Linked DNA regions of Caenorhabditis elegans. The protein of the gene in region 2 purifies or fractionates together with the protein of the main gene of each other region. This does not show direct contact. Each region holds a gene or a part of one and is shown on either strand. Other genes may lie near its edges. The genes, in order: mrpl-11, mrpl-54 and mog-2.

What was found.
Region 1: the proteins of mrpl-54 (region 2) and mrpl-11 fractionate together in Caenorhabditis elegans (co-fractionation; one large-scale study listed by BioGRID). This does not show direct contact.
Region 3: the proteins of mrpl-54 (region 2) and mog-2 fractionate together in Caenorhabditis elegans (co-fractionation; one large-scale study listed by BioGRID). This does not show direct contact.

The regions. Positions count from the first base shown.
Region 1 is NC_003281.10:8,715,941-8,719,104, reverse strand, and holds mrpl-11 (Large ribosomal subunit protein uL11m), read right to left. Parts: upstream 1,462-3,164; 5' UTR 1,459-1,461; coding exon 1,376-1,458; intron 1,189-1,375; coding exon 950-1,188; intron 901-949; coding exon 635-900; 3' UTR 538-634; downstream 1-537. Other genes in the region: B0303.14 (uncharacterized protein), read left to right, coding at 2,949-2,988, 3,135-3,164.
Region 2 is NC_003279.8:9,158,474-9,161,432, forward strand, and holds mrpl-54 (Large ribosomal subunit protein mL54), read right to left. Parts: upstream 1,050-2,959; coding exon 648-1,049; downstream 1-647. Other genes in the region: F25H5.10 (uncharacterized protein), read left to right, coding at 328-513; clsp-1 (Claspin), read right to left, coding at 1,613-1,987, 2,187-2,403, 2,471-2,959.
Region 3 is NC_003280.10:4,322,433-4,326,647, reverse strand, and holds mog-2 (putative U2 small nuclear ribonucleoprotein A'), read right to left. Parts: upstream 2,288-4,215; 5' UTR 2,282-2,287; coding exon 2,052-2,281; intron 1,313-2,051; coding exon 781-1,312; 3' UTR 606-780; downstream 1-605. Other genes in the region: H20J04.6 (Transmembrane protein 222), read right to left, coding at 2,732-2,941, 2,990-3,115, 3,166-3,250, 3,303-3,388; Y52E8A.1 (RNA helicase), read right to left, coding at 4,092-4,163, 4,210-4,215. UniProt on the Caenorhabditis elegans protein: This protein is associated with sn-RNP U2. It helps the A' protein to bind stem loop IV of U2 snRNA. Required maternally for early embryonic development and zygotically for germline and somatic development. Has a role in the switch from mitosis to meiosis.

The DNA.
Region 1 (3,164 bases), on a different chromosome or scaffold from region 2:
TTGCGTCGATTTGCAATTTGCATACTTGGAAGTTAGTCTCATAAAGAAAAGGTATTAAACGATGGTGGCCGGGAAATCGGGAAGTTATTCAATTCTCGACTGAATTAAAAATCGTTTAAAAACGAGAATCAAAACTTTTTAAAGAACAATGACTGCTGAATTTTAATGAAAAAAAATGTTGCTCTTCGAAATTAAGCTTCAAAAAATAATAGTTCTTGAGCTTCTTAGACAAAATATGACATCAATGGCTGGTCAACATTAAAATTTTGAAAACGAAGTAACTGATAAGCTCATGAAATTGTCCTTTTTCTCATCGAGACACAATGAAATGCATTCATGCCAGCAGAAATGCAAACATAAATGAAACGGAGGAATGTCGGATGCTTGAAAACCAAAAGAGTATTGCATAATGAATAGAGATGAATTAAAATGTGAAAAGAAAATGTTTAAATTTTTCGAAAATATTAATCTGTATTAAATTCTGGAAAAATATGTGAAAATCGCTGGAAACGATTGGTAATCAAATTAATCCAGAAAATAAAAATGAGATTTATTGTAACGAACAAAAACAACAAAAATTACTAGAAAAAAACGTCTATCCTAGGAGGATATTCCTATAACCAAACAAAATTTATTAAGTGGTTCGGAGCATCTTCGCCGCCTTTTTATCTGCCAAATCCTTCAACTGAGCATCAACTTTCTCTTTCCGGGCAACTAAAAATTCTTTCAATTCGACTGGATCCAAATCATGATATTGTACATCAATTCCCAATGTTCTACATGTTTTTATCAGCATTCGACAGATTTGTTCAAGCGGGACGTGTTGTAAAGCTTTATCTCGTGATTTGATTTTGGCGATTTCATACAGATGTTTTACCGTTAATTTTCCAACGATTTCGTCTGAAAAAAATGATTTAATTGCAAACTTTGAACATAAGATGCTTCTCACCTTTACTTGCTTTTCCTCTCCCAATACCAGCGGCTTGTTTCAAAAGCCATGTCGTCGTCGGTGTACAAATCTCCAAATCATATGTTCTATCTGGCTTTACAGTGATTCGTGTGGGAAGTGGGACTCCTTGTTTGAAATGGCCTGTTTCTTTGTTGAACTCTTTGCAAAAATTCGCGACATTGAGCCCACGTTGACCAAGTTGTGGTCCAAGTGGTGGAGCAGCCGACGCCATTTGTGCTCTGGAATTACATTATTATTTTACTTCTTTATTGAAAAATTAATTTTTTTAAACTAACTATACTTTTTTTGTGACTTCGGAATTGAGAGATAGGTTTGCAAATTTATGTGGAAAACACAATAATACTGAACTTTTCGGATTAGTTTTGAGATATGCTGAAGTATTTTTTTATTCCAATTAAAACTCACTTAATATTGGTTCTGAGTAACGCTCCATGAACAACTTTGACAATCTCCTTCTTTCTGACACGGGCCGCACCTTTGCTTGCCATTTTCTGAAAAGGCGTTGAAAATTGAAATTTCACAAATAGTCTTGGCAAGCAGAGGGATTTTTTAAGAAAGATGTAACAGCAGGAATATTAAAATTAATTAATTTGATATTTACGAAAACTCAGAAAAAAAAGAAGAAAAGATGACGAGCGCGCTTCAAAGAAAAATAATTCAGCTGAAAACAGTGAAAAACAAAAAAGCGAGCGAGCGGAGTGTCGTAGCGCGTGTTGTTTAGCGCGGCAAAGTTGCAAGTCTGGAAATTGCTGTAGTATCTGAAAATTCAAATAATATTACAATGTCATTTAGAAGAAAAATGTTTGGATTATAACACGTTAGACTATTCCCTTCGTTCTCTTTTATTTTAAAATGAAATATACCCTCTTAAAAATCAAATTATTGGTTTTCCCTCATTTTATAGTCCAATATAACGTACTACCTCACATATTATCAACTTCCAGTCTATTGAAAGGTTTCCCTAGACGCCTGCTAAAATCATTTGGTTTCATTTTAATCTTTAAATAGATTTCAACGATTTTTAATCATCCCTAACGGGAACGTCAAATTTTAAAATTTTGGAATTGTGTCAAATTTATGTTCAAGTTGACTTTTAATTACTAAAAGTTGTAGGTTTATATCTATGATATCATTTTTGGTGATTTAAACATGAATTAAGTTAAATAAGTCTCTAAAATCTATTTTAACAGTATTGGTTCCTGGTTAAATAAAATTGTCATTGCCTGAAATAATATCTAACGACATATGAAATTCTAATACAGTTGATATAGGAAATAATTTCCGAAACGCTCAGACTCATTAAATTCAAGATATTCTATAAAATGCATAGTTTTCTCTTTCCCCTACCTCTACCCAAATTGGTACGTCTAGCCCTAAATCAATCTAGTTTATATCTGGAGATGTGACGTCATATGAGAAGGTAACATCTTTCCCACTGTACCAAGTGATCATAAGGTAGTATCGATTGATTTTGGCTGAAAAAGGTGGCGTTTACAATGCTGGCAAAGATTATATGTTTCTGCTTTCATTCACTATTGACAACTCACTATTTAGTGGTGAACATTTGTTTCTAATATGGTTTTTTTTTCCTAGAATCTTAACCTAGAATCTTTCTTCAAAGTCCAAGCTACCGTACCTCTTCATTGCTTTTGCTGTCCTTTGGCTCTACTTTGACAACTTCTATCTAATTTATTTTTGGCATTTTAAAACAATTTATAATTTATATTACGTACGAAACGTTTTCATATATTTTCATAGTTGAATAATTTTTGATAAATTCAAAGATAACTGATAGTGACTGATATATGAGCTGTTAACAGGAAAAATACCGTAATCTAGATTTACCTGCCAATAATAATATTCATCGCAAAAAATCATAGATTCCAAACTTCCTGTACACTCCCCGCTTTTAATTATCAAATTTGAAATAGTTATTTATTTTAATTTCAGATCTCTCAACCACCGAAAAATAATACAAATGTCAAGACTTGCTGGACGTGTCGTATTCCCAGGAGAAGGTAAGTATTTCAATATTTCCAAAATTTTTTAATGGTTACCAAAACCAAATGTAGAAAATATTAAAGAAATTTAAAACCTTTCATAAAACGTTATAACAATTGACAAATCCACAAAAATATAAATATTGAAATTATTCAATTTTCAGCCGAGCCGCAATCCAGCTCTACAAACTCTC
Region 2 (2,959 bases):
CAAAAATCATATTCTTAAAAAAATGTAAAGGTTTTAGTTATCTAAGTTTTGTTTTTAAAAACATAATCACTTGTTTTATTTCCAAATTTCAACGACTTTCATGGGTGACAGATTTTAGAGCAAGGGTCTCGTCACGCGTTCTAAAAACATTTTGTGTGTGCACCTTTAAGTTACTGTAAGAATTCTGTAACAAAAAAGTCAATCGAAATTTCCTTCTGAGATTTTTTGTTGAGAAAACACGGATATTTGCAGAAAAAAGTTTTTTCTAAATGTGCAACTTTTTCTTTTCTTGGACTTTCTCAATTTCACTAGTTTCATAATTTTCAGATGCAGCCTTCAACCAGCAACCATAACGATCCATATGCAACACAATTCGAAGACGGAAACTTTACTAATTGGGGAGAGGCCGAAATTTCCGATCGAAAAAAGTTTTTTGACAGTGTGCTCGCGGATCGTGCGCAGAAGAACCATGAAGAGGAGCAGAAGAAAAAATTGGCGAAGAAAAGAAAGTGAAATTTTGGCATTACATATATAAGTTCGATTTTTTAAGTAAAAGTAAAAATAAATTCATTTCTATAAACTAGATAATAGATTGATGCTAAAAATTTAAAAACAAATAAAGTCAACAATTGAAAATACTCCGGAACTTAATTCTTCTTCATACTGGGACTATTCTGCAAGTGTAGGAACTTAGTCTTCAACTTCTGAATTCGTTGATTTTGCTCGACTTGTCTTTTTCTTAGAGCTCTCCAGTACAACCATCCATCCTTTTCGGCATCCAAATCTTCTAAATCTCTTGGTGCTCGAAGATCCAATTTGAACAGCCATTCAGGATACTCCGAGTCTGGAAGAATTTTCGGTCCCGGCTCATCTCCTTGTGTGTATGCATTGATGCATACGTGGGTTGCCAATTTGACAGCATCTTCTTCGACGAAAGATTTGTCGACTTTTACACCTGCAGCAGCTGCTGCAGCTTTTGGTGGAGCATATAAGCGTCGAGGTATCAGTGATGTAGTTCGACTGACTGTTGAAAGAGTCGAACGGAGCATCTGAAATTTTGAAACTAGAACTCTTGAAATCGCACATACTCAAAGCAAGATAATATTGCGTTCAACTATGTACAAGCAAAATATCTTTAAATGTGATAATTTCATTTTTCGGGTCGAACTTTTCTTTAAAAAAGCGGAAAAAAGCTCAACCATGAACTGCCTCCATTTTACTTTAATTAATTTTTTAAAAGATTTACTTTATTTGCTTTTCGAATAATTGTTTTTACTATAAATAGAAAAACTGCAATTTTAGAATGTGACATTCTAGAATTTTTTGAAGTTATTATAAAAATTTGCTAGCTCCATCGAGAAATATATTGAAATTTTTCTCCGGCACACTTGATCGACATAATACATGCACATTAGATACGAAAAAGTATTCAAACTTCTTTTAAAAACAATTTTAAAATCTTATAAAATACAAGATCTTTTTGTTTAAAAATAACACAACCAGTCATAAAATAGAGAAATAAAATCCACAGATAAGTGAGAACAAAATACAGATATGTCAGAGGTTTTGAGGGGTAATAACTGTAATTCACAAAAAAAAAGCAATAGAAAAATTATTCCAAAGAGCTAAGTTTACTAGATCTGACACGTTTTGCAGATGCTGACGATTCTGGCGATTTCAGCAATCGTTTTCCTGTGCTCAATCGAGACGACGGTGAACTTATATGTCCAGTTGAGAGAGGAGTTGGCTTCTCAAAGCTTTGCACATACATCTGTTTTGCTGCACCTCCAGGTCCATTCAGAACTTCTTGAAATGTGACAGCAAGAGTGGTTTTTGACAGTAGAGATGGCTTGCTGAGTCTCGGTTTGAACATTGTTTCTTCGGAGAATTCGATTACAGTTTTTTCAGTTTTCTTGAATAACTTTCCGGCGCGAGCAAACATATCATCGCCTTGTTTCGGCTCATCGAGCAACATCAATTCTTCCGCCTGAAAATATTATGTAAAATAACTTCAAGAAACATATAACTTTTTTAAAAACTATGCATAACATTTGAAAGAATTTTAATATTTTTGGATTTCATTTAGAATATAACAAAATCAAAAGGAGTAATAATTTTTAATTACCTTTTTTCGAACAATGTTTTGTGCTCAAAACATTTTTTGTGGGAAATTATTATCAACTCACATGTTCATATTTGAACTTGATCATTTCGGCTCGTTCCTTCTTTTTTTGTTCATCTTCTTCTGGTTCATCATCTTCTCCATCACCATCATTTCCATCTACATCATCTCCCATTTGAATTTGAACTTCTTCTCGTAACTTGAAACGGAATTGACGATTCGTCTCAACTCCACCGAGATCTCCGTCGGCAAGTAGACGGTCTTGAAGTTTTGCAAGCTCTCTGGAAAATTATAAATTAATTTTTGATTCTACATGCCAAAGTAAAAAAAATAGAGAAAATATATTACCTTTGTTCCTTATCGTTTTCCTGTTTCAGCAACAACTTATGATTCTGCCTCCGAATAGTATCATTATCGGGAACATCATCTGCATCTCCTTCTTCTGCTTCATAAACGTTTTCCATGCCTTCTTCATCTTCTAGATCACTTCCAACATCATCACCGGAAAGTGAAGCTTCATCATCAAAAAGTGTTCTCTTTTTGATTTTTTGTTTGTATTCTTGGTGTTGCAAACGTTTCAAGATAGCTAATTCATCGTCTTCATCGTCGAAATTTGGATCCGGAGCTTCTACTCCTTCGGTTTCAGCTTCATCATTCTCACTCTCGATGTCATCTTCCTCTGGTTCTTCTTCATCATCACCTTCTTCTTCAGCTTCTTCAGCTTCTTCATCACTATCTTCACCATCACTCAGAACAACTCTTTTCAGCTCGGTTTTTTCTTCTAAAACTGTTTCTATCTTTTCAGTGAATTCACCAGATTTTTCGCAAATTTCTTTG
Region 3 (4,215 bases), on a different chromosome or scaffold from region 2:
CAAAACTGACCAAAAAAAATTTTTATAATTGAAAAAAAAAGATTTTTCAAAATATTTTGCAAAAAAACTAGTGAAAGCCGATTTATTTTTGAATTTCTCACCGATTTTCTACATTTTTGTATTTTCCGGCTTTTTTTATCGGTTTTTCATTGTCACATTTTCAGTCATTTTTCAGCAAAAAAAGTTGAAAACTCTAAAATTAGCCAAAAATCGATAGTTTTTGTGAAAAAAAAAGTCTAAAATTATCGATTTTTAGGGTAATTTTAGAGTTTTAACGCATTTTTTTAAGGGTTTTGAAGTTTTTTTTTTGCGGAAAAATGACAAAAAAACACAAAAAATGGATTATTTTAGGCGAGAATTCAAAAAAAAATCCGCGTTTTTTCCAATTTTTAAACCTTTTTTTTCCAAATAGATATTTGAAGGCGCTGGGAAGTTCCCAGTGGGAACCTCTCAAAATTAATAAAATAATAAAAAATAGCCGGAAAACACAAAAATGGCTGAAAAAGGATTTTTTTCTAACTTTTTGTTGCAAAAATTTCAAAAAATCAAATATAAAAAGGCACGGGGAACCTTTGAAAAATCGATAAAAATATCAAAAATAATAGGGGAAATATTGTTTTATGGTATATAAAAATTACAAAAAAAGGGAAGACAGACTGGGAAAAAATTGGAAAAAAATGAGAATATAAATAAAACAAGGAGTATCATTTTAACATTAAAAAAATCAAATAAAATAAATAAATAAATTTTAGCAGCACATTCTGCAATTTTCAAGATTTTTCAAGACTCCATCGCTTCCCCATCGGCACCATTCTGATCCATCTGACGATTCCATCCCTTTTCCGGAACCTTTCCCGATGCCAGAATCGACTGAAGATAGTTGACTTCACTGAGTGACTTGGCATTCTTGATCGCTTCCTTGATCTTCTCCCGATCTTCATCAGTAAGCCGAGCACCTCCACCCGAACTATTCTCATTTGGTTCAATTTCTGATGGATCTTCTGTATGAACACTCTTCTGAATCGCATCTCTCGCCTTCTTTCCACTTTTTCCTTTGAACATCTTCTTCGCAGCTTCACGTTCTGTCAGTCTGACTCGATTGAAGTCAATCACTCGAACCGTCGGCAGCTTGTAGATCATATACATCCGATAATTGTCCTTGTGAGTTATCGGATTTCCGATAAATGTCACGTACTCGAGCTTCTTGCATTCTGCCAGTGGCTCAATGTCTCCGAGCTCGCAAATGTTGTTGTTGGTCAGTGCAAGAGTTTTGAGATTTGGAAGTTTTGTGGCAATGTCGGGTGCGATATAGCTGAAAATATGGGGTAAATTGGTGGGAATGGAGCTCGAAAATGTGGGAAAAAAGCAGTTTTGCAATGAAAAATGGAGGGTTTTTAATTTTTTTTCAGGAAATAGTAACCATAAAATTTAAATTTTTGAAGAATAAATTAGAGAAAGTATTTTAAAAATTTGAAAATGACCAAAATTTTAGGATATTTTCTGAAAAATCGATTTTTTCCCCTACTTTCCGAAAAAAACTTCGATTTTTCGAAAAATGGCTTAAAATTTTTCGAACTTTTTCAGGAAAAAAATTATATTTTTCCTATGTTCTTTCATAAAAAACTGATTTTTTCGTTTTTTTTTTTTGGAAAAAATAGCGAAATCCGGCTAAATCTGAATTTTTCGCCAACTTGCCGAAAAAAAAATTTGGAAATTTCATGAAATTTCAGAGCAAAGAAACGTTTTTTTTTCAATTTTTTAAATTCAATTTAGGGAAGTTTGTCAGAATTTTCCGGTTTAAAATTTTTTAAAACCCTATTTCAAGCTGAAATCACCGAATTCTGCCAGGAAACCCCATTTTTCGGTACTTTTCAGTCGAAAATAACCAAAGTTGGGTACAAATCGACTGGAAAAGCACTAAAACACGGATAAATTGGCAAAATTGGAATTTTTAGCTAAAATTTGGGCTTTTCCAGCAAAATATGGTGCAAAATTCTATATTTTTAGCTAAATTTAGCCACTTTTCGCTCGTTTTTCGGAAAACTACGCACTTGATTCGATTATTATGAAGATACAGCGTATTCAAACGAGAAAACGTCGGAAAATTGTCCAATTTCCTGATATCGTTGTCAGTCAGATCGATGACATCGAATTGATCCCTCGTCACTCCCATATTCTCGATTACGGGGATTTTTTGGCCGCGCAAGTTGATCTCCCGCATATTGACCGAATTGACGAATTGTGGACGCTCGGCGAACAGCTCAGTCGTGAGACGGACCATTTTTCGCTGGAATTAGGGGGTTTTCAATGTAAAAAATAACAAAAAAACATAGAAGATAGACAAAAAGTCGGCTGCAAACCGGTTAAACATCAAGAAAACTTGAAAAAAATATATATGAAAATTACAGAAAAAAAATACATTTTACATAATATATCACACGAAATATTTAACAGTTGGACTATATTTTACATGAGATCAAATTATTCCACAAAATAGTCTATTTAACCATGTTTTTCAGCATTATTCACGAAAAATCAGTGTAAAAATATAGAAAATCCCTCGATTTCTCTGAAATTACCATTTATTCCAGCTGAAACGTCCATTTTTGTTCATTTTCTCAACTGTTTCGGCTGAAATAAATGCTGTTTCTAGATAAATCTAATTTTCAATGAAAATATGCTGGAAAACATAATGAAATAGGTCATTTTGTAGAATTCCCATGGTCAAAAATTATAAAAAAGCCCACAGCGCAACGAAAATGAAGACAATTATAACGAATGGAAGGTATTGAGCGAGCATATCCGTGTTACGAACGAAGCTTCCTTTTGTCAGTGAATACCACGCCAAATTGATCATATTCCAGTCCTCGCGCTCATCGTAGCGCATTTTGTTGAGAGCCAGAGCCACGTGCGAGTGACAATTATCGCAGATGAGATTGTGCTGGAAATAAATGAAATATTGATCGGAAAAATCGATTAAAAACCGTACAGTTCTAGTTTTATACGTGTCGGAAGCATCTTGAACTGCTCTATCGAAGACTTCCGCGCCACCTTCCACCTTTTCCGGGCCTAATTGCCAGTATCTTGTGGGCCAGCCGAATCCCATGTCGTCTTCCTAAAAATATTCTACTTTTTGGAAGTAATAAATTGAATTTGGGCACAAACCGCCACATAATAGCTCCCAGCAAAGTCTCGAATGATTCCACGGCTATTCGCGATTCCCATGTGGCCGATGAATGGGAAAAACCAACTGAAACAGCATTTTTAGCTGGATTATTGGGATAAAATTAGATATTTCCTACGTCAGGCATGGAATCGGAGTCCAAACAATGCAGTATGGATACCGATTGTTTTCTGGGCAGATGTCACGGTCGGTGAGCGGCATCATTGACCTAGAAATGGAGATAGACACTGGTGAATTGGAAAAAAACGAGCAGATCAGGTGATTAAAACGTTTAAAATGTATGAAACAAAATTTCGTGATAATTTTAAGCCGAAAAATCAAAAAATCGCCTCAAAATTGAAGGAAAACAATCGAAAAACGCAAAATTCTGGAAAAAAATAAATCGAAAATTCAAATGTCCGCAAACACCGCGCGGCGAAACTGCACACAATGCGCAGTATTGTACGCGCAAAAAACTTGGAATAATAAGAAAATTTAATATTTATTCGGCAACTAAAAATAGGAAAATTCTAATTTAATTGGAATTTTTATGAACAAAAAAGCCAAAGCGGAAATTAAACCCTACCGTACTACCCATTCCTAAAGGCGCATAAGTCTTTATCAGGCAAAGATCGAAAGAGATGCTATCAAATTGCGGTATGAATGGACAATATGTGCAAAGTACAAGCCAAGACAAACTGAATAACAATGAAACTGAAAAGGAAACACCAAAGTTGAGATAGGTAAATGTTGAAGATCCCGAAGGTTTTTCATCCAGGCGGGAGCAAAAAGTCTCTTTTTCAAGTTCACTTCTGAATATCTGTTTTTTCCATCTTTTTACATTGAAAAATGAATTTGAATCAATAATGAAATAAAAATAATCTTCATCAATCAATTGGAAGTCATAAACGAAAAGAAATCAGGAAAGTTATTGTTTTTCAATTGTGCGTTGGACCTTCAAAGTGATGTTTCCTCGATTCTTGAAATCTCTTAAACCTCCCTGCAAAAAAATACAAAAAATTACATTTAAAAAATCTAATTCTTACATAATT